4 linked regions of the Tamandua tetradactyla genome follow. The main gene of each other region encodes a partner of the protein of the gene in region 2 in a complex. Links are inferred from orthologs where the notes say so. Each region holds a gene or a part of one and is shown on either strand. Other genes may lie near its edges. The genes, in order: CHCHD6, APOOL, IMMT and MICOS13.

Region 1 (7,928 bases), on a different chromosome or scaffold from region 2:
GTTCCTTTATTGTCTCTGCAAGGCCAGGCCTAGTGCCTGGCAAGTAACCTCTTCACAATAAAGATATGCTGGAGTGATAAAATGGTCAATGGGAGCAATCCTTCGGCATGCAGCCTTTAATGGCATTGGTGTATCTAAAGACTTGTCTCACGTGTGTGTCTCCTTCTCTGTTTTCCCCCTCAGCAGTGGCCTCCCAGGAGGGATGAATGATGGCAGAATTTATCCAGACTGAAGCTTAAGAAGCAGACTTGGGAAGTGACTTGAGTAGCAGGGAGCTGAGCAGTTGGGAGAAGAGACTGGAAAACAGTGAGGACTCTGGCTCCTGATAAGCTGAATTCCCAAAGATGGCTGCTTATGTGGGGTGGAGAAGAGGAAAAGTAGATGCGTACAGAACATTAATGCCATGTGTTGTGTTCGCTTAATGGAGGATGAGGTTAAATGTGCTGGTCGAAACAAAATCTTTATGTATTTTACGCATGCTTGCTCTCAAAACTGGAGCTGAATATGATTGCAGTATTTTGCATTAATTAAATTTCTTTTCCATTCCAAGGAATTAGGGCTTGAACAGCTATTCAAATATATGCAAACAAGAATGTAAATTAGCAAGGCCCTGGCACTTAATTTTTAGGGGACTAGATCATGTTCTAGGACCAGGCCCAGGAGATTAAATACAAGTCATTAAGAATATTAAACTTTCTCTGAAGGAGCAGGGGCAAATATTCCCTTTTCTGCCCATTAAATTAACTTCTCATTTGTCCACTCTGGTACTCTCTGTTGTTGATCTTTTCAATTGATATTTGCCTTACTAAAGGCAGGATGAGCACCCTGCCTCTCAAGGAACTTTGCTAACAGGAAAAGCCCCTTCCTTGAAACAATTCATTATCATCACCCTCCTTTCTCCTCTCCTCCCCTTTCAAACCAGCTACACAAGCAAGCAGAAGGAAGGTAGTGGCTCTGAAAGCATGAGGCTGCGGACCTCAATGTATGCTCCTGGGCAAGTCATTTACTGATTTATTTTCCCAGCTGGAAAAGGAAGCAGTCAAATTAAACAGTTAACTAGAGTTCCTTCTAGTTTTAAGTCTCGGATAGAAATAAGTGGGGCACCAGTGTCCCTTTCAGGACAGAGACATTGTCGTTTTTCAGACTGCCTTGCATATCACGGGATGGATGGAACTGGGAGTAAGTCAGGGAAGGGTTTATTTTGCAGCCCAAAAGATCCAGAATAAAGTTCCAGAAGTTACTCCGGCAATACCTTAGACAAATTCCTTAACTTCTTAGCCTGATTCTTCATCTTTAAATAGAAATTATACATTTTAAGGAGAATTGGTAAGAGAATTAGAAATAAAATGTTCCCGTTTGATGTAATACTTCAAAAAGATTACCCTCTGTCCACTAAAAGAACCTCCAAAGGGACTCCACCAAACCTCAGGAGACTTCAACTTATCTAACTTTTCAACATTCCCAAAGGCAAGAGATGAGGTAACACAGGTGGCAGAACACCCAAATGGAGCCAAGAGTTTCTTTCTAAATTCCAGTTAGGTTCCAGAAAATCGATCTTTTACTATAAGCCATCTCCTCCCCACTGGAACCTTGACACAAGCCAGGTCAAAACAATATGACCTATAGAGCATCGAAGTGCCAACCAAGTACTGTGTTAGGCTAAGAACAGAAGCTCCGCACAAAGCACTCTGTACTTTTTCTATCCACTTTCCCATACATCTTCATCTTATCCTGGGCAGAACTGACAGTATCTCTACATTCCCATTTTTTCCTTTAGATAAGGTGACTGAGGCTCAAAAGTAAGGTTGTTCACCTAAGAACAACAGCTAATGAGCATCTGGGTGTAGAAGTCAGAGCTCTTCAAGTCTTTTTCTGATCTACCTCCCTCCCCAATGGACTAATTCACTTAACACCCAGCTCTGTACATTCTATCTAAATATGGTCCCTGCTTCACTGGGTTAATTCATGCAATCACTCAACTAATATTTACAAAGCACCCACTATATAGGAGGAAGTATAGAGCAGCAGTTCAAGGAACAGGCCTGGGATTGGCCTTCTTCAATCCGAGCTCTCCCACTTGTTAACTAGGTGGCCCTAGATAAGTTACTTAACCTCTCTGTGTCTCAGTTTTCCTTAATCTTCAAAATGGGGCTAACAGAATGCTGCCTATCTCATATGCCTGAGAACTAAATGAGATTATACCTATAGACAGTTTACCACAATACACACCCCGCTCTAAGCACTCAAATATGAGCTGCTTTTATTATCCTAGGTTTGGGAATTGGGTAGCGAACCCGCCAATAGCCTCAAAGAGCTTATGCTGTAGTGGCAGACACAACAAAGGAGGTAAACAAATAATCAATATTAGTTTCAAATTGTGATGAGTGCTATGAAAATAATAAACAGGGGGGTGCGGGAGTTAGAAGCTACTTTAGATTTAATGTTCAAGGACAAACTCTCTTAGATGATATTTAGCTACAACATCAGTGACAAGCCAGCTAGGTACAAGAAAAGCTGAGGAAGAGAAAAGAGCAAATGGTGAGGTCCTGAGCTTGTAGCTGGCATCTCCTACCAAGAGTAAGGAGGCCCATTGTGACTAGAAGGGGATGGGAGGCCAGGGAACTATTACCAGATGTGGTCAGAGGGGTCGGCAAGGAACAGGGGAGCTTTGTAAAACAAGACAAGGCATTTTCTCTTTACTTTATATGTGCTTGGGATCCACTGGCAGATTTTAGGCAAGGAAAAGGGTATATGATCTGATTTACAGCTGTTAAAGGGGCCCTTTGGCTGCTGCGTGTCAAATGGACTGTCCAGGCAGTCCAGTGTTGCAGTGGTCCATGATCGGAAGCATCTCAGGCATACACACAAGACACGCGCGTGCAAAGAGGAGGGGTGGGGCGGAGGACATTCAGGAAGTGTGACAGTTAAGTCAACAGGAGCTGTGATACGTGGCCCAAGGCTTCCCTCGCATCCTAGTGGCCTCCCCGCTTGTCCCCTTCTTCGCCGGCGCCCAGGTCGTGGTGAAGCCTGAAGACCGCCGGCTCTCGGCTCACGTCCCAGCGCAGTCACTCCTGGACGTGCGACCCTAGGCATCTACCGAGCCTCATTTTTCCTCTTTGGCAAAGTGTAGGGAGAAAGACTCGCCACCAGGCAGTTGACTGGACTCAACGAGCGCCGCGCGTCAGGCCCCCGCAAGGCCGCTCTCTCGGCCCCCGCGTCCTCCCCACCGCCCGGCCCGCGGTCCCCCGCGCCCTGAGGAGCCCCAGTGCCCGCCACGACCCAGGCCGCGCCCGATCGCTCGCTCGTGGAGCCCACCGGCGGCGCCGCTCACCCGGATGCCCTGCAGCACCCGGACTCGCTCCTCTTCGTCCATTCCGAAGGACACCCTGCGGCCCTCGCTGCTCTCAGCGTTGCCCATGGCAAGAGGCTCCAAAGCCACCAGGTAGCCGCCAGACTCCAGGCGCCTCACGCTCCCTACACTTTCCAAGACTCGCGGCTTCCGCCTCAGCCCTCCTTGCCGATGTGAACCAACAAAGCCACGTCCTATTGGCTGCCGCCCGAAGCTCAGCCAATCAGGTGTCGCGGCACCCGTGTAGTCTCACCGGTGCCAGGCTGTGGGAGGCCGGTGCCCGGCGATTCGCGCGGACCCAGAAAGAGGGCGGCTAGGGGCAGGAGATCTTGAATGAGAAGCTGAGGAGCAGGGCAGTTATGGTCTAGTTCCCGCTTTGAAAAGATCGATCACCTTGAAAGCAGAGCCCAGGGTGAGGTCCCGAGGCCACAGACCACCGAGAGAGCTGAGCCTAAGGTCTGGGGACGAACTTCTGATCATTGATTACTTCTTGAGCAGAACTCATCCAGCGCCTAGCTCCCGGGAACCCAAAAATCACAAGACTTACGCTTTTGTGGGGTTTTCAGTGCAATGAATGAAGCAAATGAAAACAAAAATAGGCAAGTAAATAAACTTACTAACCTACTGCAATAAGTACTATGCAGGGAAAACTGCATCAGGATATCGTGAGAGAAATTAAAAGGAAGGGGCCCACTTTAAATTGAGAGGGCAAGGAAGGCCTGTCTGAAGAAGCATGTGACTTGAGACTGAAGGATGAGTGGGGAGGAATAAGTGCAAAGGCCCTGAGGCAGAAAGAGCTTGCCACGTTCAAGAAAAGAGGGCCTGCATGGCTGGAAAGCAAGAGGTAAGAAAAGGAGTCCCATGACCCCCAGGGGTGTGGACATTCCTGGCAACGTGGGACAGAAATCCTAGAATGAGCTAGGATTCAGCATCAAGGGATTAAGAAAACCTTCTGGACCAAAGAGGGAAGAGCGAAATGAGACAAAATAAAGTGTCAGTGGCTGAGAGATTCCAAACAGAGTGGAGAGGTTATCCTGGAAGTTATTCTTAAGCCTCATACAAATAGGACAGAAGTGCCTGAAACTGCAGAGCTGTGTTCCAGTAGCCATGTTTCTTGAAGATGATTGTATAATGATATAGCTTTCACAGTGTGACTGTGTGATTGTGAAAACCTTGTGTCTGAAGCTCCTTTTATTTACCGTACAGACAGATGAGTAAAACATATGGATTAAAAAGAAATAAATAATAGGGGGAACAAATGTTAAAATAAATTTAGGAGATTGAAATGCTGGTGATCAATGAAAGGGAGTGGTAAGGGGTATAGGAAAAAAAATAGGGGAAGCAAAGGCTAAAATATATTGGGTAGATGGAAATACTAGCAGTCAGTGACAGGGAGGGGTAAGGGGTATGATATGTATGAGTTTTTTTCTTTTTCTGAATTGATACAAATATTCTAAGAAATGATCATGGTCATGAATATACAACTATGTTATGATACTGTGAGTTATTGATTATATACCAAGAATGGAATGATCATATAGTAAGAATGTTTGTGTTTATATGTTTTTACGTTTAAAACAATTTAAAAATTTAAAAAAAAAAAGAAGAGTAGTCCCAGATGCAATGAAGTCGGAGGAACAGGCAACGCCAGATCTTGTAGGGCCTTGTAGTCCAGGGTCATGGATTGCATTTTATTCTAGATGCCTTGTGAGGACGGCAAACAGTCCCAAGCAAATGGGAGATATTGTCCAGCAAGCATGCATGTCATATACAAAGTACGGTGTGTTTGTACTTCTTATCCACAATGTTATATATAGTGGAGAAACACAAATAATTGCTGTTACAGCCATAGCTATCATAAATAAAGACCCCTTGTGTTCATCTAAGATGCTGAATAACTTTGATTTGTTAGTGTGGGCCTGGAACTGAGTTTGGAATCTAGAGCTGGAAAGTATTGGGTTGCTACATGAAAGAGCAAGAAGTGTTTGGAGCTCCTTTTGGCAACCAGGGAAGGAAAGGGTGAAGAACACAGAATGGAGTAGAGACCGCTGAGACATTCTGAGGCTTGGGGTGAAGAAGTCAGTGAACATTTCCAGAGGCAGGGCAGTCAAGAGAGACTGTCAGGAGCAAAGATATCTGCCAGTTTCACTTCAAATATTTGAATTTGAAAATCCCCCTCCATCTCTTCTTCCCTATAAGCAAAGCCTGAGTCAAAATTCCAATGCAAGAGGTTTACTGGGGGAGTATCCTCAAGAAAGGAAATGAAAGAAGCAGAATAAAGCAGAGGATAAACACTAAGTAAGGATGTCGTCTCAGCAGAAGGCTATCTTCAGCCTGATCCCATGGGGGACTCTGAAGCACAAATTGCACCACAGAATTGGTCCCACAGTGAGGCAAGGGGGTCAGCCTTCTGTATCCCCCACATCAGTCATCATTGGTGGCCCAGGGCATTTTTCCAGAAAAGGGGCCAGCTATGAACTGCCAACAGCCCAATACCCACAACAGGTGCTGGTAAAGGTAACCTGGGTAGAACACTATCAGCATCTACTACATGCTCCAAATATTTTTCAGAATCTCCAGGACACTTACATTTCTTCTGTGATTGTAAGAGGAGGTTTTGAGGAAAGAGCTGGATTTCACTTCTGGGTCAGGTGATGATATAATTAATACACTGAACTAATTCAGCAAAACGAAAGTCAGAGCCAAGGGTGACCATAAGACTGTGTGCAAAATCTTGGGAGGTAATTTTGAATTCCACAAGGCCTAGAGTAGGCTTTACCCTTAAGGCATAGGTAAGCTTCATAACAAAGCAACAAGTTCAATATCCCCATTTCACAGATAAGGAAAACAGAGGGGCAAACAGGCTAAGATATTGTAACAATAAATCCAAAGTAGGATGAGGATTCGAATAAAGGCAGTAGCAATAGGAATGTAGAGAAAAGGAGAGGAAGGGAAACTCATATTTTTTCAAGTACCCACTTTGTGCTAGACTCTATGGCACATATGCTTTTCATGAATTTAATCCATACCATCTCCTTTGGTCCTCACAGATACCCTGCCAGCGTTATTCCTCATTTTAAAGCCCAGGAAACCGAGACTCCGGGGAGATAAAGTGGTATAACAGGCCCAATAGTTGCTGCCTGGTACCCATTCTCTCTTTCTTCCTTACAATACAACCCCAATTCCTTTAGTGCAGGAGTGTGACTAATTAAAAAATCTAATCTCCTAGGCTCCCACTGACCAAAATTGGGACAGTTTTTTGAACATCAAAAAGAATACAGAGAGTAATGGCTTACAACGCATTTAATTTTTTAAAAATCAATTAGTTCATTTTGATATAAGAGTGTGAGAACAAACGAGTGAGAGAGAGAGAATGGGGGAAAAGGGGGAAAACTCTTCTTTACAAAAGAATACCAATTAATAAATGCAGAAGGAATGTCAGCTTAGAAAATCACCATTTTGCAGCCCTCAGTGAATGATTCAGTCAAAAATCATTAATGGATTCTGAAGCAGTTGGGTGAAAGGTTATTAGGTGTTGGGGATTGACTCATGTTTCCCACAAAAGACATTTCAAGTCCTAACTTCCAGTCCTATAGGTATGAGCCCATTTGTAATGAGAACATTTGAAGATATTATTATTGGTTAAGGTGTGGATTCATTTGTAAATAGAGTCTTTGAAGATCTTATTTACCTGAGACCAAACTGAATCCGGGCGGTGGGGGGGGGGGGGGGGTCTTAATCCATCTGACTGGAGTCTTTATTGCAGAGGAAGTTTGGATAGAGTTAGTAGAAGCCACAAGAAGCCAGAAAATGAAGCTGATTGCCATATAAAGGAGGAACCCCATGGAGTGTGGCAAGCCAGCAACAGAATGCTACAGACAGCAGAATGCAGCAGAAAGCATGGACAGTCAAGACCTTGATTTTGAACTTCTGGCCTCCAAGACAGTGAGCCAATAAACTACTATTGTTTAAGCCAACCAGTTCATGATATTATCATAGCAGCCCGGGAAAACCAGGACATCAGGGAACAGGATATTCACCCAATTCCCAAGTCTCACCACAGATTTCTTATTAATTACAATGGGAAAACTGGAATACAGTAACAAATGGCCAAATTTAGCATCACATATAGTGGGATAAGCTGACACAATTTCCCTTCTGATATAATGCAATAAAAAGTATCCTACCTCTCCTGTAGAGTATTCTTGCCAAAAGTATGTAAATTGGATCTAATCCAGAGGAAGCAATCAGACAAATCCAGAATGTGAAACTTCCCACAAAACTGGCCTGGACTTTTTGGAAAAAAGTCAATCTCATGAAAAACAAAACAAAAAAGGTGGTTTAAAAATGATGAAAGAAGCATCACAATGAAATGCAACAGTGAACTTTAATTGGATCCCAGATTCCTACAACAACAACAACAGAGCTATAAAAAAGATACTTGGGACAATTGGAAAAATTTGTATATAGAATGTGTTTTAGATGACATTATTGAATTAATGCTAATATTCTTGGATTGGAAGTAAAGTGTCATGGTATCTGCAACTTGTACTCAAAATGGTTCAGAGGGAAAAACAGG
Region 2 (8,012 bases):
TCTTATGAAAGACCTAAAATTACAGATCCAAGAAGTGCAGCGCACCCCAAAGAGATTAGACCCAAATAGGCGTTCTCCAAGACACTTAATAGTTAGAATGTCAGAGGTCAAAGAGAAAGAGAGGATCTTGAAAGCAGCAAGAGAAAAACAATCTGTCACATACAAGGGAAACCCAATAAGACTATGTGTAGATTTCTCAGCAGAAACCATGGAAGCTAGAAGACAGTGGGATGATATATTTAAATTACTAAAAGAGAAAAACTGCCAACCAAGACTCCTATATCCAGCAAAACTGTCCTTCAAAAATGAGGGAGAAATTAAAACACTCTCAGACAAAAAGTCACTGAGAGTATTTGTGACCAAGAGACCAGCTCTGCAAGAAATACTAAAGGTAGCACTAGAGTCACATACAAAAAGACAGAAGAGAGAGGTATGGAGTAAAGTGTAGAAAGAAGGAAAATCAGACATGATATATATAATACAAAAGCCAAAATGGTAGAGGAAAATATTATCCAAACAGTAATAACACTAAAAGTTAATGGACTGAATTTCCCAATCAAAAGACATAGAATGGCAGAATGGATTACGACCCAGCAATACCACTGCTAGGTATCTACTCAAAGGACTTAAGGGCAAAGACACAGACGGACATTTGCACACCAGTGTTTATAGCAGCATTATCTATAATTGCAAAGAGATGGAAGCAGCCAAGATGTCCATCAACAGACGAGTGGCTAAACAAACTGTGGCGTATACCTACGATGGAATATTGTGCAGCTTTAAGACAGACTAAACTTATGAGGCATGTAGTAACATGGATGGACCTAGAGAACATTATGCTGAGTGATTCTAGCCCAAAACTAAAGGACAAATACTGTATGGTCCCACTGATGTGAACCCACATTCGAGAATCAGCTTGGAATATATCATTGGTAACAGAGCCCAGCAGAAGTTAGAAACAGGGTAAGATAATGGGTAATTGGAGCTGAAGGGATACAGACTGTGCAACAGGACTAGATACAAAAACTCAAAAATGGACAGCACAATAATACCTCAGTGTAATGTAACTATGTTGGAACACTGAATGAAGCTGCACCTGAAATATGGTTTTTTGTTTGTTTGTTTGTTTGTTTGTATCTTTTGTTTTTTTTTCTTTTTCCTTTTTTTATATATATATATTTTTTATTAGTATTATTATTTTAATTCTCTTCTCTGTATTAACATTCTATATCTTTTTCTGCTGTTTTGCTAGTTCTTTTCCTAAATCGATGCAAATGTACTAAGAAATGATGATCATACATCTGTGTGATGATACTAAGAATTACTGAGTGCATGTGTAGAATGGAATGATTTCTAAATGTTGTGTTAATTTCTTTTCTTTTTTTTGATTAATAAAAAAATTAAAAAAAAAAGAATTAAGTGAAATAATGTGTAAAGTATTTGGGCACAGTGCCTGGACTGTAGTAACATTTAATAAATGGTAGTTGCCAGTGGCTTTTCTTTATTAGAAAAATCAAAGGTTTACAGAAAAAACATGCATAAAACACAGGATTCCCATATAGCACCCCACCACCAACAACTTGCTTTGCTGTGGAACATCTGTTGCAATTTTTTACAAGTGTATTATTACTCAAAGTCCATGGTTTAACTTAGGGTTCACTGGTTATGTAGTGTAATGCCAGTGACTTCTTAGTGGTCAAATAAAAAGACACATTCAACTCTCTCTTCCTCTAGGTTTCAGTGACAACACACCATTCCGATTTGCTTTCTAACACTGACTATTCCTTCTCCATCTCTGTACCTCCTTGGTGACGCTTTTCTTTATTCCCTCAACCAAGAGTGAGTTCTCTTTTAAACCCTCAGAGCACTCTCTACTTCTCCTGAAGCAAGGCATTTCCCTTTCTCTGAATCACAGTCATTTGTTGTATCTTCACTGCTTAATTTAACCTATTCTATCATCATTTCCTGGCACCTATTTACTCATGTAGAATTGCTGATTACCTATTTTAGGCCAGATCTGTGCTAGGTATTGAGAATACAAAGATTATTATGTCATATTTACTGACCCAAGGAGATTATAATTTAGGAGAGCAGAACAGACAAGTAAATACTCAATTTTTGCAGTGGATAAATGCTAAGGTAAGAGTAGCCCAGGAACCTTTGGGGAGGTTGGGGACAGTCTCTTGGAAAAGTAGTTTGTGCTTATCATATGGGAAGGCGCTCAAATGTACATTAAATGAATTGATGAACTATGGGTAGGAACTAAGTAGATGAAGATGGGAAAGGGCACTTCAGGCCCAGAGAAAGAACAGGTTAAAAATTACGGAGCGGTGAAGCAAGTAGATCAGTATTGATGGGAGAGGGGTCCTGAGTGGCAAAAGAAACTGGAGAGTCAAGACAGGGTTTCGCATTCTAGGCATAACAGTCTGAACCTGACTTTAGAGGACAGATATCAGAGAGCCAATAAAGAGTTTTAAGTAGGTAAGGGACATAATCAGATTCGTATTTAATGGAATTACTCTGGCAGCGCAGAGGAGAATGGATTCCTGGTGGGCTAGGCTAGAGGCAGGTCCAATTAGAACGCTATTGCAATAATTCAGATAAATTATGAAAGCCTGAATTTCAGAAATGCTGTGAGGATGACTATTCAAGACACATATTCAGCAGACTTAAAATAAACTTTGGCTAACCTGAATTATTCATATTTGAATCTCCTGCGAGCATGGCAGAATATTTAACACTTGAAACTCGCGAGGTAAATATCGTCAACTGCTGCCATTGAAACCCTGTTAGGGAACTGTAGCAGCCAGCTGAGTCATTTCCTGTACAAAGACTTTAAGTAAAGGTGCCTTTTCCCATTATAGAAGTCAAAAGAAACTTAGGTCCTATTTGAATCTACAGTGTAGCAGTACGTATAAACCCGCGCACTGGCAAGGAGGCTCTGGGGCGTCTCTATCCTGGTTTATTTCGCCCGAAATAATATTTGAACAAAGTCCTTCAATAGGGTTATGCCCACGATTATTTTTTAATTTGTTCCAGCTCAAGATTCAAACCTTTGTTGCGGCTCGTCGCCCAGCAACAGAGGTGCCTTGCTCACCCAGCCGTTTCCAGTTTTTACCGTACCTCTGTATAAGAAGTTAACCGCAGGCAATTGAAGAGAAAGCAGTCTCACGGAGAGAAAACTCTGAAGGCAAATTGAGGCCTGGATTTCGAGGATCTGGATTTCAAATATCGACTCCCTGACCTTGCCGATCTTCCTACAACCCTACCTCCACCCGGCCCTTTGCTCTACGGCTACCTTCTGAAGTTAGGAGGATCCCTTCTAAGTTATTACAAGGCTATCTGCACCCAAAAAAGTAAGCTAGGTTTTTTTCACTTACCGTAATGGTCGACACGTCTGTGACCCTCGCTGCCCAAGTTTTTATACGAAGAGCAGAGAGGGACAAAACAATTCACCTCGGCTTTGCGTACGGCAGCCCCGCCCCATTACGTCCCTGACCTGCCCACTCCCGCCTTCTCTCCGCCCTCCTGGAACAGCTCCGACAAGTTACTACAGTTGGTTGGCTGTCTTCTGGAAAGGTTTTATCTTCGCGGTTGAATCTCCCAGTCCCAGAGGAAGTCCTTCAGAACGTTTTCCATACTCCAGTTGAGAGCTGTTTTGTGGTTTCAGAACCTTTCATTTCAGACATAAATTATTTGTCTCAGTAAGGACTTAATACCTAAGTTCAGCTGCCTTAATAACTATTAAAAAAGAAACATGTTATTTCCTCGATACATGGGCAAGTTCAATCATTCGGACTGTCGCTGAGCGCTTACTATGTGGCAGGCACTTTTTCAGGGTACGGAACAGAAATAGGGTCGGGGATTACTTGTTTAGATAGATTAGGGAAAGACTGGAAAAGATGATATTTGAAAACAGACTTGAAGGAATGTAGAGAATAGCATTCCATGAGGAAGGAAAAGCAACGAAAAAGATCAGTGTGACTGGAGTGATAAATTAAGAAGTAGTGAAATTACACATTGTGTCGGGCACATTTTGTGCCACGATAAGGATTTGGGATTTTATTTTGAATAAAATGGTAAGTCTTTGGAGATTGTTGAGCAGAGGTATGCCATGATCTAAGTTAGATTTTAAGAAGATGATTAGGATGGTGTAAGGAAAATATCCTGTGGGTAGGTGCAACATTCTCAATAAGTACAAGGTCCCCTAGGCCTCTAGTGAATGATTCTGAAGAAAGAAGGGGTTTATAATCTTCCCATTAACATTCCCAATATTAATTCATTTATTCAACAGATATTTATTAAATGCAAACGATATATTAAATGCATCAGTGGCATACCTAGCATGTCTGATACCCAAAGAACATCATTTCTAACAGCCCCCTCCTCTATATAACAAAATTATTTTAACAAATAATCATGAAATCTTTTAAGAACACAAAGTGAAAATTTTCTTTTAGTGAACTTCATAAATATATATGTCAGCATAAAAATAAAACAGAAAATAAAGTAAATAGTATAATACAAAAATGAACTAGAAAAAAGTTATGATCAATACATTTTAAGTGAGTTATATTTTTCAAAAGAGGAAAAGCTGATATATACATGTTGGTCTACCACACTAACAAATAATAATATCACAGATTTTGTTTTGAGCCTTTATATCTGCATATTTTTCAATGACTTCATCAAAACTGATCATCTCTGCATATGCAATAGATGATATAGACTGATTTGTCAATATATGTTTGTTCATAGATGATGTACATTTTCTACTAATTTTAATATCAATAAAGTTACTTCCACATTAAGCAACACTTATACAAATAATTAGGAAAAGTCTCAATATGTGAATAATTTTGAAAGAGATTCATAAAATCTTATTTCACAAAAATTCCAGGAATTACAATACCACTCATGTCTTTGTTTCTTCAAGATCAAATCTATGGGCATTCAAATTTTCCACAGTTGAAAATTTCACCTAAAGTATCTCCCCCTAAAATGAATCATACATTTCTATAGTAGTTTGTAAAAACTTTAAAAGTTTTTCTTCTTCTGTAAAAAGTCAGAAAATATCTGAATGAGGGGAAACTTTGACATCATTTGATCCAATGCTTTAGAATAGGTATTCAGTGCTTTGTGCAAACAGCTGAGTATTCAAATACTGCCCCTTTGATTTTTTCTGGCAATGTCAGACAGACATCTTATGTCATTTTTCCTTCTATTGTACATTACAATTTATTTTTCCATGTAAATGTCGATTTCCTTATATCATGAAGTTGCATAGTGTGGTAGATTGGGTCATGTACTCCAGCAAAAGAAATGTTCCTAATCTTAATCCACGTTCCTGTAGGCATGAACCCATTTGTAAATAAGACCTTTTGAAGATATTATTATTAGTTAAGGTAAGGCCAAAATTAATCAGGGTGGGTCTTCATCTATATTACTGAAGGACTTACAAAGACAGGAAATTTGAATAAAATTAGAGAAAAGCAAAGGAAGAAACTGGAATTTAGCAGAAACCGGAAGAGCAGATTCCAGGAGAAAGAGATCATCATGTGAGGGGAGGCCAAGATGCAAGCCAAAAAACCCCCAAGGATTATGACAAGCCATCAGCAGATTGCTAGTCTTCTGGGAGAAAGCATGACCTTGCTAAAAGCTTTGTTTTCAACTTCTAGCCTCTGAAACCAAGAAAGAATAGATTTCTGTTGTTTAAACCAATCCATTGTGTGGTATTTGTCATAGCAGCCCTGGCAAACTGAGACACATAGTGTGCTGGTTTGAAGCTACTATGTATCCCAGAAAGGCCATGTTCTTTTAATCCATCCCTATGGGGTCAGACCCATTGAGGGTGTTACCTTCTGATTAAATTGTTTCAATTGAGAGGTGACCCAGCCCATCTGAGGTGGGTCTTTATCCTTCACTGGAGTCCTTTATGACAGGATAAAACACAGAATAGCCAAGAGAGCTTGCAAAAAGAGAAACTCCCTAGAGGAGCTGAGAGAGAGACACTGAAATCAGAAACTGAGAGCAATGGAACCCTGAAGTGAAGGACCATCAGCAGATGCCAGCTATGTGCCTTGCTGTCTGGCAGAGGAACCCCAGATGTCAGTGGCCTTTCTTCAGAGAAGTTATCATCCTGTTGGTGCCTTAATTTGGACATTGTCATGGCCTTAGAATGGTAAATTTATAAACTAATAAATCCCCATTATAAAAGCCAACCCATTTCTGGTATACTGCATTCTGGCAGCTTTAGCAAACCAAAACATATAGTAAATAGTTTTCTTCCCAATTTTTATGACCCAATCTTCAAGGAACAATTTAAAGCTTAGTTTTTAATCTGTGCATTGTTCACCACTGATTCTGGCTGTTTTTAAATATTTTTCTATCTGATTAACCTCAACTAAAGTTTCACACCAGAAAAATTCAAATTCAAGAAAATATTTTATATGTAAATTAAAAGTTGAATTGACAAAACAAAAATAGTACACCTCATAGTTAGCTGTCTCCTTCACTGTCTAAACTTTTAAACACAAAAACATGATAAATTATTAAACAATTATATTTAAATATGTAAATATTTTTAATTGTTTCAATAAATATTTAAATATATAAATTATAGTATAAATTAATAAATAAATTATTTAGCACAAATAAATAAGCATGCACACACACACACACACACAGTGGTCACATAGATGGCAAAACTAAAGTAATCCAGGTTCTATGTCTTTCTCTTTTGCAATCACTTGAGCGATCATTTTTTATTTCTAATCTACTGTTTAAACACAGGGATATGCAGTACTACAGGGGCTGCAGACATAAACTGCACCCAAGAAGAGTTCCAACAATTCAGAACCTTTGTGAAATTATCCTTTGAAGAAATGCATATAACAGCCTTCATGTTTTAGAAATCTATTGTAAAACTTGGAATTCTTCACATTAATTTTAATGCTGAATACAATGTCTTTTAAAGGATAGGTTATTAAAATAAATAATTTGAATATGACATATATTATTAAAACTCAATAGTAACCACAAAAATTGTTTAGGTACTTACACCAAAAATAGGTTGTTAGAAGAAGATTTTGTTATCATTATTGTTTACAATTGGCAGTGTGTGATGATTAACAGCACAATGACTTTATTACATTTTATTACTGTGGTAGTTAGGTTCAGGTGTCAACTTGGCTAGGTGAAGGTGCCTAGTTCTATTGCTGTGGACATGAGCTGATGGCATGTGAACCTTATCTGTTGCTGATTACATCTGCAGTCAGTTAAGAGGTGTGCTTGCTGCAATGAATGATGTTTGATATAATTGGCTGGTGCTTAAATGAGAGAGCTCAATGTAGCACAGCCCAAGCAGCTCAGCATACCTCATCTCAGCACTCCAGCTCAGCAATACAGAAAGGAATCACCCCGTGGAAAGTTGTTGGAACCCAGAGGCCTGGAGAGAAGACGAGCACAGATTGCCTTGTGCCTTCCCATGTAAGGAAAAAACCTCAGTTGAAAGTTAGCTGCCTTTCCTCTGAAGAACTATATGTTAACTAAATAAATCCCGTTTTATTGAAAGCCAATCCATCTCTGGTGTGTTGCATTCCAGCAGCTAGCAAACTAGAACAATTACTGTTTTTTAAGTTCTCTAACAGATAATCCAACCCCTTTATTGCCTACACTCAGGGTCATGCACTCCCACCCCTACCTTTGGTGCATCACTGTCAGGCATTGTTCTAGATGCTGGGCATGAAGCACTGAATAAAACATAGGCAAACTCTAGACTGGAGGAGTTTAAGTGTAAAATTTTTTATCAAGAAAAAACAAGTTCGTTTTGGAGGCTGTTAAGTACTATAGGTGATGACTGGGTTGGAGTAGGAATTACTTTCAATTGGAAGGACAGAAAACAACTCTTCAAGGAGGTGAAACTGACCTAACAAGACGGTCCACCTATGTGAATATTTGAGTGTTCTAAGCACAGAGAGCAGCAAGTGTGAAGACTCTGAGGAGGGAACAAA
Region 3 (8,653 bases), on a different chromosome or scaffold from region 2:
CTCGTCCATGTCTGATTTTATTTATTTGCATCTTCCGTCTTCTTCATTTTGTCAGCCTTGCTAAGTGTCCATCAATCTTATTGATTTTCTCAGAGAACCAACTTCTGGTTTTGTTGATTTTCTCGATTGTATTCATGTTCTCAATTTCACTTATTTCTGCTGTACTCTTTGTTATTTCTTTCCTTTTGTTTGCTTTGAGGCTAGTTTGCTGTTCTTTCTCTAGTTCTTCCAAGTGGACAGTTAATTCCTCGATTTTTGCTCTTTCTTCTTTTTTGATATAGACATTTAGGGCAATAAATTTCCTTCTTAGCACTGCCTTTGCTGCATCCTATAAATTTTGATATGTTGTGTTCTCATTTTTATTTGCCTCGAGATATTTACTAATTTCTCTTCTAATTTCTTCCTTGACCCATTGATTGTTTAAGAGTGTGTTGTTGAGCCTCCATGTTTGTGAATTTTTTGGCACTCTGCCTTTTGTTGATTTCCAACTTCATTCCTTTATGATATGAGAAAGTGTTTTGTATTATTTCAATCTTTTTAAATTTATTGAGACTTGCTTTGTGACCCAGCATATGGTCTATCCTTGAGAATGATCTATAAGCACTTGAAAAAAAAAGGTGTATCCTGCTGTTGTGGGGCGTAACGTTCTATAAATATCTGTTAAGTCTAGCTCATTTATTGTAATATTCAAATACTCTCCAATCCTGAACACAGTATGCCCTTCCATTTATTTAGGTCTTCTGTGATTTCTTTTAAAAAATTCTTATAGTTTTCTTCATATAGGTCTCTTGTCTCTTTAGTTAAATTTATTCCTAAATATTTTATTCTCTGTCTAGATGTTCTGTCCATTGATGAGAGTGGAGAATTGAAGTCTCCAACTATTATACTAGATGTATCTATTTCTCTTTTCAGCATTTGCCTCATGTATTTTGGAGCACTCCGGCTCAGTGCATAAATATTTATGATTGTTATGTCTTGTTGAATTATTCCTTTTATTAATACATAGTGTCCTTCTTTGTCTCTTTTAATTGTTTTAAATTGGAAGCCTACTTGTTGGCTATTAGTATAATTACTTCTACTCTTTTCTGATTGTTGTTTGCATGAAATATCTTTTCCCAATATTTCACTTTCAACCTATGCTTATCCTTGGGTCTAAGATGCGTCTTCTGTAGACAGCATATAGATGGATCCTGTTTTTTAATCTATTCTGCCAGTCTATGTCTTTTGATTGCAGAGTTTAATCCATTAACATTTAGTGTTATTACTGTAAGGGCAGTACTTTCTTTTACCATTTTGCCTTTTGGATTTTATATATTATACCTAATTTTTCTTCTCTTTACCTTTGCTGATTGTCTTCATTTCTACACTCTTCACCACACCTCTCTCTCCTGACTTTTCCTATCTGTCTCTAGTACTCCCTTTAGTAGTTCTTGCAGTGCTGGTCTCTTGGTCACAAATTCTCTCAGTGATTTTTTTTGTCTGAAAATGTTTTAATTTCCCCCTCATTTTTGAAGGACAACTTTGCTGGATATAGAATTAGTGGTTGGTAGTGTTTCTGCTTTAGTATCTTAAATATATCATCCCACTGTCTTCTTGCCTCCATGGTTTCTGCCAAGAAATCTATGCATAGCCTTATTGAGCTTCCCTTGCATGTGATGGATTGCTTTTGTCTTGATGCTTTCAAGATTCTCTCTTTCTCTTTGACATTCTGATTAGTAAATGTCTTGGAGTATGTCTATTTGGATCTATTCTGTTTGGGGTACACTACACCTCTTGGATCTGTAATTTTAAATCTTTCATAAGAGTTGCAAAATTTTCAGTGGCAATTTCCTGCATTAGTTTTTCTCCTCCTTTTCCCTTTTCTTTTCCTTCAGGGATACCCACTACATGTATATCTGTGCACTTCATGTTCTCATTGAATTCCCTGAGTCCCTATTCATATTTTTCCATTCTTTTCACTATATTTTCTTTTGCTTGTCAGATTTCAGATGTCCTGCCCTCCAGTTCACTAATCCTATCTTCTGCCTCTTGAAGTCTAACATTGTAGGTTTCCATTTTTTTTTTACTCTTCTACTGTGCCTTTTATTTCCATAAGTTCTGTGATTTGTTTTTTCAGACTTTTGATTTCTTCTATTTGTTCATTCCTTGCCTTCTTTATATCCTCCCTCAATTCTTTTATTTGATTTTTGTTGAGGGTTTCCATGTCTGTTCGAACATTCTGAATTAATTGTTTCAACTCCTGTATCTCATTTGAATTCTTGGTTTGTTCCTTTGACTGGGTCATATTTTCAATTTTCCTAGTATGATTCGTTATTTTTTGCTGGTGTCTAGGCATTTAATTTACTTAATTAGTTTATTCTGGAGATTGTTTTCACTTTTTCTTACCTAGAATTTTCTTGGATGACTTTGTCTATCTGTTCTTTGACCTTCAGTTCAGCTTAGTCCACACCTCTAGCTTAAGTTTTGTTTAACAGATGAGAATTTTTCAGTTCTTGTTTTCTTGTTTCTTGCCCTGCCTGTATGGTGCCTTTTTTTCCCCTTAGGAGGGTCTACTTAGGTATTATACCAGTCAGATTTTCTCATACCAAACTGGCCTCCTGTCAGAAGGAAAGAGTCTCCTGTGTCAGTTTTCCCCGTGGGTGAGAAACAATGGATTGAAAGGCTTTCCATGAAGCTCAGATGTGGCCTCTCTCTCTCTAAGGCCAACTCTGCAAGTGAAATCATTGTCCTCTCCCACTATGTGGCACATGACATCCAGGGGTGAAAGTCTCCCTGGTGACACGGGAGATGACTCCCAGAGATGAACCTGGCCATGGCACCATGGGATCAACAATGCCATCCTGATCACAAGGGAGAAAAGAAGTTTAACAAATCAGGTCTCAGCAGCTGAGAGAGGCTACCCTGGAGATCACATTTATGCAAGTTTTAGTTAAACATTGCTACCTAAAATAACTTGCCAACTCCCAACTCTGCCAATCCTAAAGAACCCCTAGGGTGTTATATAAGATTCTACAAAGGTTCTATGTAGTACAGTAACTTTGCAGAAACCTACAACCTCCAGATGGGTCCCTGAACCAGATAAATCCTGAAATGCAGAGGGGCCAACCTCTCCAGAACATCAGTTAATTCTGTCTCCCTATCCCATATTATTGATAGCCCCTTCCAACATGAAAAAGTTACAATGGGCACAGCCCAAATACCCCTTAAGAGTGAGAGAAAGATCAACAGTTATGGTAGAGTTATACAGAGAAGGTAGGGTTTAGTAAATGCGATTGCTGGATTATTATATTGATATTTCTTTTAGTCTACAGTATCTTAGAGCAGTTAGAAGTAAAAACCTAAAATTGTGAAATGGTAACCCATAACAAAATCTGAAATTTGTTCTACAACTAATTGTTGTGATGTGCTTTCAAATTTTTTGTATATGTGTTATTTTTCACAAAAAAAGTAAAAAAAAGTTGCACTAACATCACCACCAACCACTATGTAAACATATCCATCACTCCCAACAGGAATCCTGTGTGTATATATATATATATATATATATATATATATATATATATATATATTTTTTTTTTTTTTCTTTCTTTTGCATGGCCAGGCACAGGGAATTGAACCTGGGTCTCCACCATGGAAGACAAGAATTCTGCCACTGAGCCACGGTGGTTCACCCAAGAACCCTGTATATTTTAAGCCTTAACTTTTCATTCCCTATTCCCACCCCATCCCTAGATTCTGATTCTATGATTTGCTTATTCTAATTCTTCAATATCAGTGAAATCAAACAATATTTGCCTTCTTGAGTCTGGTTTATTTCACTCAACATGATGTCTTCTGGGCTTTTCATGTTGTCACAGGAATTAGGATTTCATTTCTTTTTTATGGCTGAGTAATATTTCATTGTATGTACATATCACATTTTATTTATTCATTCATTGGTTGATGGACACGGGTTGCTTCCATCTTTTGGCAATTGTGAATAATGCCACTATGAACATCGGTGTGTACTGATAATATTTTAAAGCATAACAATGAATAGATCTGAAAAATTCCATGTGGATTGTGAGATTAAGGACTTGAGAGAAAGGGTAAGTAAAAGGGTAGGAAATAAGTGAGAGGCTAAATGGGGGTTTGAGATCTTAACTTCAGAAGGGTCACTAATGATGTTCAAACCCAAGATATGGCTGTCCCATACATGGATAGGGCTGAATGAAATTGCTCAATGGCACTAAGAAGTTCAAAGCCAGGATGTCAGAAGAGTAATCGAAATGGCACTACCCAAGCCTGACAGTGATGAAGAGGGACAGAGACGGACAGATCATGATTCAGTCACTAAAGTTACTTAGGAACTTGGGAAAACACTCTGTAGTTGTTGGGTGGCAAAGATGCATAACAGAGATAAAATGCAATTACTAAAGCACCCTGATAGCATAAGATATACGCAAATGTAAGTAATTATTTGATTTTAGATAATTTTAAAATCCATTTCTCCATTTTACAAAAGGGAGTAGTATTGCTCTTTACCTTTGGGTAGGATACTATGTCATCAATTACCTAGTTAAGACTAGAAAGAATTTGAATACACGACACAGGCTATTTATTAGATAAACCAAAGATACTTGTCAGATAACTTAGTTTCGATAATGTTCTGATTATAAGATTAATACTACTAGTAGTAATGAATGCCACGTTCAATATTTAATGTCGTAGTTTGATTATAGATTCAGCGGTATACTTTGCACAACAGTGCGTCTGCACTGACCTCCTTATCTTCTAATCTACTCCACAGACCCGGTCAAAATCACCCTCTTGAAATTAAAACTTGATGGAGAAACCGGTGAGAGGCTCAATCTAGAAGGAGTAGAAGCTGTGGAGTCCGACCATACAGATTATTACCCCTGCCCTGACACTAGATAACGTGAACAATACGTTCTGCACAACAGTCCATCCAGTTCACCCATCTCCTGCAGTCAGGGTAAATCCCTGAAGGGCTGTCAAGCGAAACATACGCAAACCGAGACAAAAGCATTGTTTAAGTAAGTCTGGCCAAACCGATTCGTTTCTACGAAATATTCAGCTGACAAACACCGCTGAGCTTCCTTGCTTTAATTCTCTGCAGTGTCAGACCTATCCGTATTCAGCGAGGGGCTACAGAGCTGGAGCCGCACGTAACCCGGAAACAAAAGTCGCCCTTTCCGCCTCCTTCCACCAATCGTCTCCGACTCGTAATCTCCTCTACAGCCCCGCTTCCGAGTTAGCCCATTCTATCGGCAAGGGGCGGGGCATGGAGCTGCGTGTGCGCAGGGACGTTGGTCGGTCTTCCGGTGACTGCGGCGCGGAGGGGCGCCGGACGTACGCACGCACGCCGCCCTGTTGCCCACACGCCTTCCCTTAGGCGCACCGCCCCGATAGCTGTCTAGTACTCCAGCCGCGCTGTTCACCCGGCCAACGAGATGCTGCGGGTCTGTCAATTGTCCGGCGTGACCGCCGCCGCCCAGGTGAATACAGGGGCTCTGGGAGAGAGCCCCGGAGGCGAATGACTCGGGGCCGCTAACGGAAAGTTGGGGTGGCTTTGGCGCTGCGTAGGCCCCGGCTCGACGCGCGTCTAAGGGCCGCCCTCCTAGCGAGCATTTCGGGAGGGGCTGGTGCGGCAGTGAATTCGGGAGTCCACCGACTGGGGTGACTGGAGACCCGAGGGTTATCGTTGAAGCCGGCGGTGTGGCTAAGTGGCGGGGAGGCGGGCACAGGGCTAGGCGGGGCTTCGGGCTGTGCGGTCCAATCAACCCCGTGTCGGCCCAGTCACGACCCAATCCCGGCTATGGCTCGCCGTCGCGGGTTGGACGCGCGCGGCTAGGTGAAGGTCGGAGGGCTGGACTACCGTTCCCAGCAGCACTTGCGGTGGCCCATCCTGGGTGCTGCCGCAGTGAGCAGGTGCCTACAACTGCTGGGCTCAAGGTTGTAATTACCCGGGAGGGACTGCCCTTCTTTCCCAACAGAGAATACCTGGGAGCTATTCTTACTCTAAGCAGAGTTGAAAGAGTCTAGCTTTTGGAGCCCAAACTCCTGTTAATGGAGAAAGGATGGGAGTCATGACCTTGATTTGAGGTCTAAGGTTAGCCTGTGTCTCCAGGTGCTGACATAACTTTGACCGACGTTCAAGGAGCCTAGACACCAAACCACTTTAAGTTTTCATGAGTAATCAAAGTAACTTACTAACATTACTTTTTTTTTTTTTTAAAGTAGGGCTATTTCCATTGTTCAGAGTTTACTGCGGATTGGTAGTTCAGTGAGATGTGTTGCAGTAATTGAACAAAATCTGTAGGCCTACGGAGAGAGAGGACATAAAAGTCAAACTTTGATTTTTGTTTTTGCTTCCCTCCAGGTTTGTGTCTTTCTGCATTTGTTGCCGTGGAAAAGAGAAGCAGCCTTTTCTGTGTGAAAGTGTGGCTGTATTAATTTTCAGTTGTTGCTTAATAAATTAACAGCTCAAAACAATGCCCATGTTTTTCGTACAATTTCTGTAGATTAAAAGTTTGGGCGTGACTGACTGAGCTGGGGTCTCAGCTCAGGGTCCATACGTGGCTGCAGTTAAAGTGTTAGCTGTGGTATGTTCTTGTTTAGAGCTGAGTATCCTCTTGCAAGTTTATTAAGTTTGTTGGCAAAATTCAGTTCCTTGCAGCTGTAAGATTGACTCCTGTTTCCCTGCAACTATTGTCAGAGGCTGCTGACAATTCCTGCTTTGAAACTCCCATAGGGAGTTTATAACATGGATGTTTGCTTTCTTCCAGGCCAATAGTAACTTGTCTCTCTGACTTTAGAATCTCTCTTTTCCTGATTCTTACCTCAGACCCTAATTTAAAGAGCTTATGTGATTAGTTCGGGCTCAGTTGGATAACATCCTAATTGATTAACTTAAAGTCAGTTTATTAGTAACCTGTATTGCATCTGCAAAATCTGCCCCCCACCCTTTTTTTTTCTTTTTGCCACAAAGCCCTAGTTATGGCACACCTTTTCTCATTTTGCTCTCTGTTTACATCTTGGCTGTCATTGATCTAGACTGTCTTACCTAAACTCCAAAATTACTTTTTCCTTTTGTTACTTTTATCAAAATACTTTCTGCTTATTGGGATCCCAATTAGGAAATAAGAAAAGTGATTAAAACTTTAAAGTGAACCCTGAAGCTCTCAGTTAAAACTTCTAACCTTCAAATTGTTAACTTGTAAAATGCGTTGGTTTATTCTCACACTCACCTCCGTCATTCTGCAGCATTTGATATTGTTGCTTTATAAAACTCTTGGCTTCTCTCACACAACGTTTTGGGGCCCATTTTACCCTTCATCTCTTTTCTGTGTTTCTTTTACTGAGTCTCATTGCTTATCTTTATATACTCTCATACTTGGAGTTATATCAGTTCTCAGAACTTTAACCCCTAATCAGATGACACTCTTCTGTTCTCTTTTGAGCTTTATACTCAAATTTCTGAATTCTTGTTTTAATTTTCCGGCTTTACCCAGAATATTCCACTTGTTAAAATCCTTTTCATCCCATAATTTAAAATGTTTCCTACTTTTTATCTTGCTTTCTACTGTCAGTTTATTACATAGTGGTTAGTAAAGGCTTTTAAAAAGCATATAGATCATACCTGCCCTTCACATCTCTTCACACTCAGAATAAATTCTAAACACCTGATCACGCCCACCTGGCCCTTCGTGATCTGGCTTCTTGCATATCTTTTCTACTCTTCCTCACACTATACCACTGATATCTCTAGCACATGCCTGTCTTTTCATTTGTTGTTTCTTTTGCTGGGAAGTCTACCTACACAGCTGTGCTTAGCTTGCTCTCTTCATTCAGCTTATTTTTCTCAACCTTCTCAGAGAGGCTTTCCTTCCTATTATTTCTTCAACAGACTTTGTTACCACTCAGTCCTTCTTGTATCACTCTGTTCTTACCTTTCTTTTACTTTGTAGCTCTTACTACTACCTAAAGTTATAATGTATATTTGTTGCATGTTTCCCCCATTAAATTGTAAGCTCCTCAAAGGGACCTCAAAGGGACCTCAAAGGGACTGTGTCCATCTTGTTCACTGCTGTATTTCCAGTACCTAGAATAGGTATTACAGTACTTGGCTCCAAGTAGGTGCTCAATAAATGCTTGTGGCATGCTTGGATGAAAGAATGAATGTGTTCCATCAATTTTTCTTATTCTCCATAAGTGAATGTTACCTCCTTTCCCCCATAGCTTTGGAACGTCTCATAGAATCTACTTTATTCTTTGTGTATGCTCATCATCCTCACATTCCCTGCATATGGATATTCAGCAGGAATGAGGTGTTCTCTTTTCCCGAGTGTGCTTCAGAACTCTGCACCTGAGCCTTCTTCAGTTTATTTCCCAGACTTCCATCTTTTTCTCAGGCCCATTCTAATATCACCAGGTCCAGCTTTTCTGAAGTGAGCTTTACTTCAGGAGTAGAGGCTTTGAATTAGGAGAACCCGAATTTTCAGTCTAATTTAATCTTCCCAAGCTATAGACTGCCGGAAGGAAGTACCTGAGACTGTAGAGCTGTATTCCAGTAACCTTGGTTCTTGAAGATGATTGTATAGTGATCTAGCTTTTATAGTGTGTCTTTGTGATTGTGAGAGACATGTCTGAT
Region 4 (7,374 bases), on a different chromosome or scaffold from region 2:
GGAGTCCCCAGCCTGACAGGGGAGATGCTTTCAGGACTCAGGCTGACCAGGCCCATGAGGGGGTGCAGGGGATTGAATCCCGCCCCCCAACAAAGGACATACTCTGAATCTCATACTGCTTTCTAGCAGTTGTGAATCCATCTGTAAACAGGACCTTTTGAGGATGCTTATTGGTCAAGGTGTGGACTCATTTGCCAATAAGAACCTATTAGGGATGCGGCCGAATTGAATCGAACAGGTCTTAATTCGTATTCCCAGACATCTTATAAAGAGAGGAAATTCGGGCACAGTCGATCAGAGTAAGTCACAGGACCTCACCGTGTGATAGAGGCAGCGACGAAGCCAAGGGACCCCAGGAATTGCGGCAAACTGGCGCCACAACACTGCAGGCTCCAAGGGGACTCATGGTCTTGCCCATGCCTTGATTTGGCATTTCTGGGCACTACACCTGTGACATGTTAAAAAAAAAAACAAAAAAAAACCCCGGACGTATAAGCCAACCCATGGGGTAGTGCTTGTCAGTGCAGCTTAGGCAAACTGAGACGGTGGGGAAGTACGCAGCTGAGCCAGTGCAGGGCAGGTGTCTCAGGGACCCCCAAATAGTAATAACCACCAGGCCAGAAAAGGGTAGGATGGCAAGGTAAGGCAGGGGTCTTGGAGAGGGCTCCTGGCTGGGGCAGATGGTGAGTTCTGCCTGCCCCATTGAGCTGCTGCTCCTGGAATGCCCCACCTTGAGCCCAGCCCTCCACAAACCAAGACATCGCCCCACTCTAAACCTGAACTCGCCCTCTGCACTTTCTCAACTCTCTCCCGGGGCCCAGAGCACTGTCCAGAGAGCACCAGGATTAATCCTCTGCTCTCACACTCCCAGCCAGGTTGAGGGCCCTGGTGGGCAGGGCCAGGAAGCAATGACTGGGGTGAACCTTAGCCCATGGTCAAGGCCAGGCAGGCCTGAGCTGGAGCACCCCGAAAGCCCCAGGGCTGGCACGTGGGTCAGGGGCACTTCTGAAGTCCTTTATTGGGCCTGCCAGGCCATGAGCTGCCCTTGGAGTAGGGTCCCAGTTTGGAGTCTTCAGGTCCAACACACTACTTGGTACGCTCCTTCAGGTATTTCCAGCCCTCCCTGGAGTACTCGCAGGCCTTGGAGGGGGCGGCCGACAGAGCTGCCATCACTGTGATGATACCTGTTGGGAGATACAGCTGCCTGATAAGGGCCCAGCAGAGGAAGCTTCCCCTTCGCCTTTGCCCGGGAAACTCAAGGCTGGGGAGTTGCCCATCAACTGCATGCAGGGAAACTGAGGTAGAGGAAGGGTAGGGCCTTGCTTTGTCTGAGGTCACCGGATGAGATCTGATATGGCCTCAGGCCTCCAACCTCCTGATCCACGGCTCCCATTAGAGCCCGGCAATGCCCAGCCCAGCTCCAAGAGACTTCTCTGTGTTCCCACTTCCCCTCTTTTAAAATTGTGGAAGGCACATATGTAGTAGGGAGAAAATGGAAAAGGGGACCAGGAAGCAGGGAGGGGGAAGGCATGGAGATTGGGGTTTCTGGGGTCTAGGCTAGGGCAACCCCCACCATCCCCAAACACAGGGACCAGGTGCTTACCTGAATTCCAGGAATCGCGGATGGGAAGGTTAAACTTTGGCATAGGCGGGAGCTGGAAAGAAAAAGGGGCTAGTGAGAAGGGAAGGGCTCGGCAGCCCTCAACATGCCTCCCAAGGCAGAGGGAGGAATATGCACCCCTGAGTGCACAGGATACCAAGCAGGGCTGAAGGGCTCTTTAGTGACCCCTAAATTTACCTCCCTCCCCACCCGCCCTGGCCTCATGTCCAGCTCCTGGTACCTGGGGCATTTGCAGGCCCGTCTGCTCACACACGTACTGGCTGAACTGGTACATGGCTGGGGGGACCACTTCCTCGGCCTTCCGAAGTGCCGCCTGGCTCTTCTCGCTAGGCCCCAGCAGCTCCTGATCGTAGACGAGGTAAACGGAGCCCCCAGCCACACTGCCCTTGATGAGGAACCTGCAGGCAGCACAGGGAGTGACAGATCAGTGGGAAAGCTTGCTGCCCTCAGTTGTCAAATCCACAGGGAGGAATTGGGCCTTCCTGGGGTTCCTAACCCAGAAGGTGACACACCTATATCTAGGCAATTCAGAGAGGAAGTACAGGATGCTGTGGAAACCCAGAGGCGTGTCTGACCCCTACTGTGCACGGTTTTACATTTCCGGGGTGCAAAGCAGAGACTTCCAACACCATTTAACTGGTAAACCGAGGCCCGGAAATGGGCAGCGGGTCCCTCAAGGTCTCTTGTTCAAGGGAACAAGGGAAAGGGAAGAACTTAAGATCCTTCTAGCTTCCAGGCCAGGGAGGGATGCTCTGTGAACAACCCGCGGGGGTGTCCTAACGTCCCCGAGCGGTTCCTGAACGTCACGCGCCACTCCAGGAGCGGACTGGCCTCCCAATAAGAACTCCGCAGGGTCTAGATGTGTTAGAAGAGGCAACTGAGGCTCGGAGGGGCGTCTCGGATGCAAAAAGCCACGAGATCGGGGCGAGGCTAGGAGGCAGGAGGGAAACGCTAGGTGGCCTCGGCAAGTCCTCCCCGCCCGAGTCTCAGTTTCCCTATCTGGCCCATTGTGGAGGGACGGCGCTGGCACTACGGGAAGCGAACAGTAGGTCAGGACTAAACCCGGGCGGCTGGAGGGAGGAGAGGGGACTCTCTCATCGCACCGGCGGTCCCACGCACCTCATCAGCGACAGCACTCGGGGCACCATAGTCGCTCGGTTCCTCGCACAAGGACACCCGCCTTGCCCGCCGCTTCCGGTAGTGTGCCGCAGAGGCCTCTGGTAGGTGTAGTTTTTCTTGGCAGCCGCAAAGCCCTCCGGGAGTCGGAGGCCTAGACTACTGTCCCGGCTCTAAGATCCCTGGGAGGGTGGTTGGTACCCTCGCGAACGGCCGCTGGGAAATGTAGTTTTTACTGCCCTGACCGCCGCAAGGATTTCTGGGAAGTGTAGTCGGCAGCGCCCCAGGCAGCGGCGGGACGGTAAACCCGGCCGCGAAAGTTCCTGGGAAATGTAGTCCCGCCTGGCCGGGCTCCCGCGGCGTGAGGGATGGAGGTGTTGGAAGTCTAGAGCGAGGACTGAGGGGGACCGAAGGAAGTTTCGGAGCCCGGGAGATCCACCCGCGCCCGCGCGGGGTACTGATGTTCCCTTCCTCGGGGAGCACGCCTAGAGAGCAGTCGTCACGGCAACACAAGGGCGGAATTGTTGGCGAGAGGATAGACCGCGAACACGTGAATGCGCCCCGAGGGGCGGGGCCAGGGAGCCACGCGGAAGCCGTTACTATGGCAACGCTTGGGCACGGAGACACCCCCTGTCTGGCTCCTTCCCCCGAAGGGGTTCGTGAGCTTGGGGGGTCACGTGACTCGGGCCCCAAGCGAGGGGGCCGCGCGCCTGGCTGTACAGCGGGGTAAACTGAGGCCCGAGTGGGTGAGTCCGTTGCACGCTCCCTTGGCCCAGAGGGGAAACTGAGTCCTGACGAGGTTGAGGGACCAGTGGGTTCTGTAAGGAGCCTGTTCCCCGGCACACCTCCCGCCTCCCGACCCAGCTGTATCATCCATCCATCATCAGTCCATCCGTCCATCCATCTGTCAGGCCTTCTGTCAAATCCCGCCTCCTTTGGCTGGCTTCATGGAGAGGATGGGGTGGGAGGTCGGGGGTGGGGGGGCCTGGGTTGGAGGTGGGGAATCCCAGGAGGAGTGGTGGGAAGCATATGTAGAATGGGGAGGCTGGGTGGAAGTGGGAGTCAGGGAACCGTGGGCATTTCAGGCAGGGCCCCCCCCCCCCCTCCGTAAAGGGTCCAGGTGGGAAGCAGTGAAATTGGGAGCCCTGGGGTCAAAGAGGAGGGGACAGTTGGAGAAAGATTTTGGAGGGAGAACTGGCAATACCCGTGCACCATCAGACCATGGTGGGGAAAAGGCTGTGAGGAAGTGAGGCGTGCTGGTTTGAAATGATGTATGAACCCTACAAAAAGCCATGTTTTAATCCTAATCCCATTTTGTAAAGACAGCTGTTTCTTCTAATCCCTATTCAGCATTGTATGTTTGAAACTAATTAGATCTCCCTGATGATTTAATCAAAAGTATTTGTTAAACTAGATTAGGTGACGACATGTCTCCACCCATTTGGGTGGGTCTTGATAAATTTCTGGAGTCCTATAAAAGAGGAAACATTTTGGAAAATGGAGATTTCTGAGAGAGCAGAGAGCAACATAGCCATGAGAAGCAGAGAGTTTGCCAGCCAGTGACCTTTGAAGAAAGAAAGAAAACACCTCCTGGGGAGCGTCATGAAACAGGAAGCCAGGAGAGAAAGCTAGCAGATGATGCCATGCTCACCATGTGCCCTTCCAGCCGAGAGAGAAACTGTGACTGTGTTCGCCATGTGTCTTCTCCCTTGAGAGAAACCCTGAACTTCACTGGCCTTCTTGAACCAAGGTATCTTTCCCTGGATGCCTTAGATCGGACATTTCTATAGACTTGTTGTAACTGGGACATTTTCTCAGCCTTAGAACTGTAAACTAGCAACTTATTAAATTCCCCTTTTAAAAAGCCATTCCTAGTATATTGCATTCCGGCAGCTAGCAAACTAGAACATGAGGTCAGTGCTGACTTGGCAATGGGAGATAGTGGGGAGTTTGCTATGGTGACATGAAAGGCTTGGCTTCAGATGCTGAGCTCAGATTGAGCCCTGCTGCATCTAAGGGCACGAAGGGTGCCAAAGGGTGACACCCAGGAGGTGGTGGGAGCTTTGCAGTAGGGGCTCAGGCCATGGGGCTGATGTAGACATTACAGACTTAGGGTCTCCCCAAACACCCGCTCCCCACCCCATCTAGGCTCTGTCAGCCTTCTAGATTCTGGCGTTCAGAGGGTAGAAACCCCAGATGTGATGGGCCTGAAGTTACAGCTAACCCAGATGTCACCAGCCAGCCCTGGCTGTCCAGTTCTTTTGGGATGTCTCCCCCAGCTCTCGTCTCATACAATCTTCATATCACTCTCTGTTACTCTGTTATCTGTTGAGCACCTACTGTGTACTTAGCACTGTTTTGGGCATTAAAGACACAGTGAGCGAAACAGAAGTAAGTAAACTGATCTGTTACTGGACGAGGGGCCCGAAAACGTAACAGATTGTCCCTATAATTTCAAGGGCCAACAGATGCTGAGAAGGAGATCAAAGTGCTAGAGAGAGGGATGAGGAGGGGGGGAGCTTTAGAAAAGGAGGCCAGGGAAGCCCCCTCTGAGGAGGTCATTTGTGCACACAGACTTGAAGGAAGGGGAAAGAGCAAGCCATTTGGATATGTTCAGAGGAGCTTTCTAGCAGAGGGGACAGCGAGTGCAAAGGCCCTGGGGCAGGCTGGTGCCTGGCTGGCTTGAGTAGTGTCAGAGAGGCTGGCCTGGCAGAAGGGATTGTGAGGGTCCTTTCCTGACTTTTTTTGTGTATGTGGCTATTTTGGTGTTGGAGTTTTATGCTAAATGAAATGGGACCCAGCAGGCTTTGGAAAAGCCATGAAGGTGCTGCTTCTCATGGGCCTTAGGGCCCAGCTCTTTGCCTATTACTGGGATGACAGCTTCGACCCAGGTGGGTGCATGGGTGTAGGATGGGGGTGGGGGAATTTGTCAGGTCTGCTGTCCTGCCCACCCCGCAGGCTATCCCCTCTGCTCCCTATTGGCCAGCCTCCAGGGAGCTTGAGTGCTGCTGACAGGTGCCAGTGCAGGTGTGGCCAAGAAACTGGCATACTGCTATGCCCACCTGGTGCTCACCACCCACGCCAGGGTCTCCTGCAGAAGGTGAGCCACCCCACCCCAGGACACCTTTGATGGTAGGGGGACGGAGGCCTAGTTGGAAGTCCTGCTCCCATCCCTGCTTGCTGTGTGACCATGGGCAAGTTGCTTAACCTCTCTGGGCCACAGTTTCCTCCTTTGCAAAATGAAGACGATCAAAGTGCCTGCTCATGGGTTCTGGTGTTGTGTGGGAAGCAATAAATAGGAATACTGAATGTGTCCAAAGCCTGTGCCCCATGTCAGGCTTCTCAAACTCAAAAACGGTCTGGGAGGGCTGGTGGAAGCTTCTCAGCAGCCCAAGAACTATCCTGGGCACAAACTTCCCACAGTTTCAAGAGAAGCCCCAAATCTGCGGAGTTATGTGCCATCTCCGGAGTTTTCGATGGTGGGTGATTGATCACATAAAACATGCCCAGCCATCCTGGTCCCAAGGCTGCCAGTTTGGGAGCCCAGTGTTTTGGGGCTGATACTGAGCAGGACCCAATGCTCAGAATCGGGGCTTCGCTGTGGGGACCCAAGATGTCCGGTAGGTGAGTGGGGCCAGCTGGGGCGGAGGGGCTCAGGGGCAGCTCTGGTCCCCTAGGTGGTAGGGACCTGCCGGATGCTGGCCACCCCCGAGGTCTTCTATATCCCCGTGGACATGGCCTCGCCCGAGGCGTCCGAGCACGCGGTGCAGTTTGCCGGGACAGGCTGGGTGGAGGCGGGGCCTGAGGCAGGTCCCGAGCCTGGTGAAGGAGTGGCGGTGACGGGTGCCCGCCGAGCGGCGTGGCCAGTGGCAGAACTTCGTCGCACGCGGGGACGGCGCTCTGGAAGGTGCTTCTTTGCAAAGGGAGCGAAGCCTGGCAGGATCCGGGGAGTCGGGCTTGGGGCGGGACCTCAGGGGTCTTAGAGGGCATCACTCGGCGTGGAGCTTGTGGGTCGGAGCCCTAGGCCAGATCGGGGTGGGGGTTGGGGGTGAGGTCTCATCGGGTGCAGGGGGTGGGGCCTCAGGGACTAGCCCTGGGCTGACCGGCCTCTTCGGGTCCTGAACCTACGTCGGCGCCGCCTCGGCCGACCAGCGGGCTCGCAGTGCCCAGGCTGCAATCTGGCTCATGAAGATGCCCCGCCCCATCGGCCCCAGAGCCCGCCCCTTTCCTGGCAAGGACTCCGTCCCCAGGTTCGCGCGCAAATTCTCGCATCCCTGTCCCCGCCCCCTTCTCTAGGCTCCGCTCCCTCCTTCCCTGGTCCCGGACCCATTCCGGGCCTAGGCTCCGCCTCTTGACCGTCGCCCCACCCCTCGCGTCCGGGACCCAGGCTCCGCCCTCTTCCGGGCCTGGGCCCCGCCCCCTCCTCTGACCTCGCCTCGGTGGGGTCACTCTGAGGCGCCCCCGGCAGGTGAACCTCCTGAGCTACGTGTAGCCGACCTCGTTGGGCTGTCCAGCCTGGCGGCCGACAAGGACTCCCTGGGAGGTGGTGTCCTCACAGCTCGGTGCCTGCCCATGGCCCTGGCGCTCTGGACAGGGGGTAATTGGAAGAGGCTTGCAACGTGGCGAGCTTGGAGGGA

The links.
Region 1: APOOL (region 2) and CHCHD6 share a complex: the UniProt entries of both Homo sapiens proteins name them as parts of the mitochondrial contact site and cristae organizing system (MICOS) complex. The link is inferred for Tamandua tetradactyla from reciprocal best matches to the Homo sapiens genes APOOL and CHCHD6.
Region 3: APOOL (region 2) and IMMT share a complex: the UniProt entries of both Homo sapiens proteins name them as parts of the mitochondrial contact site and cristae organizing system (MICOS) complex. The link is inferred for Tamandua tetradactyla from reciprocal best matches to the Homo sapiens genes APOOL and IMMT.
Region 4: APOOL (region 2) and MICOS13 share a complex: the UniProt entries of both Homo sapiens proteins name them as parts of the mitochondrial contact site and cristae organizing system (MICOS) complex. The link is inferred for Tamandua tetradactyla from reciprocal best matches to the Homo sapiens genes APOOL and MICOS13.

Annotation. Positions count from the first base shown.
Region 1 is NC_135335.1:29,070,889-29,078,816, reverse strand, and holds the start of CHCHD6 (MICOS complex subunit MIC25), read right to left. Parts: upstream 3,523-7,928; 5' UTR 3,419-3,522; coding exon 3,332-3,418; intron 1-3,331. UniProt on the Homo sapiens protein: Component of the MICOS complex, a large protein complex of the mitochondrial inner membrane that plays crucial roles in the maintenance of crista junctions, inner membrane architecture, and formation of contact sites to the outer membrane.
Region 2 is NC_135353.1:85,011,799-85,019,810, forward strand, and holds the start of APOOL (MICOS complex subunit MIC27), read right to left. Parts: upstream 3,480-8,012; 5' UTR 3,381-3,479; intron 3,375-3,380; exon of another isoform or gene 3,124-3,374; intron 1-3,123. UniProt on the Homo sapiens protein: Component of the MICOS complex, a large protein complex of the mitochondrial inner membrane that plays crucial roles in the maintenance of crista junctions, inner membrane architecture, and formation of contact sites to the outer membrane.
Region 3 is NC_135343.1:61,150,381-61,159,033, forward strand, and holds the start of IMMT (MICOS complex subunit MIC60), read left to right. Parts: upstream 1-5,245; 5' UTR 5,246-5,453; coding exon 5,454-5,498; intron 5,499-5,814; exon of another isoform or gene 5,815-5,955; intron 5,956-8,653. UniProt on the Homo sapiens protein: Component of the MICOS complex, a large protein complex of the mitochondrial inner membrane that plays crucial roles in the maintenance of crista junctions, inner membrane architecture, and formation of contact sites to the outer membrane.
Region 4 is NC_135337.1:76,461,812-76,469,185, reverse strand, and holds MICOS13 (MICOS complex subunit MIC13), read right to left. Parts: upstream 3,275-7,374; 5' UTR 2,770-3,274; coding exon 2,741-2,769; intron 2,020-2,740; coding exon 1,842-2,019; intron 1,656-1,841; coding exon 1,604-1,655; intron 1,185-1,603; coding exon 1,087-1,184; 3' UTR 1,001-1,086; downstream 1-1,000. UniProt on the Homo sapiens protein: Component of the MICOS complex, a large protein complex of the mitochondrial inner membrane that plays crucial roles in the maintenance of crista junctions, inner membrane architecture, and formation of contact sites to the outer membrane.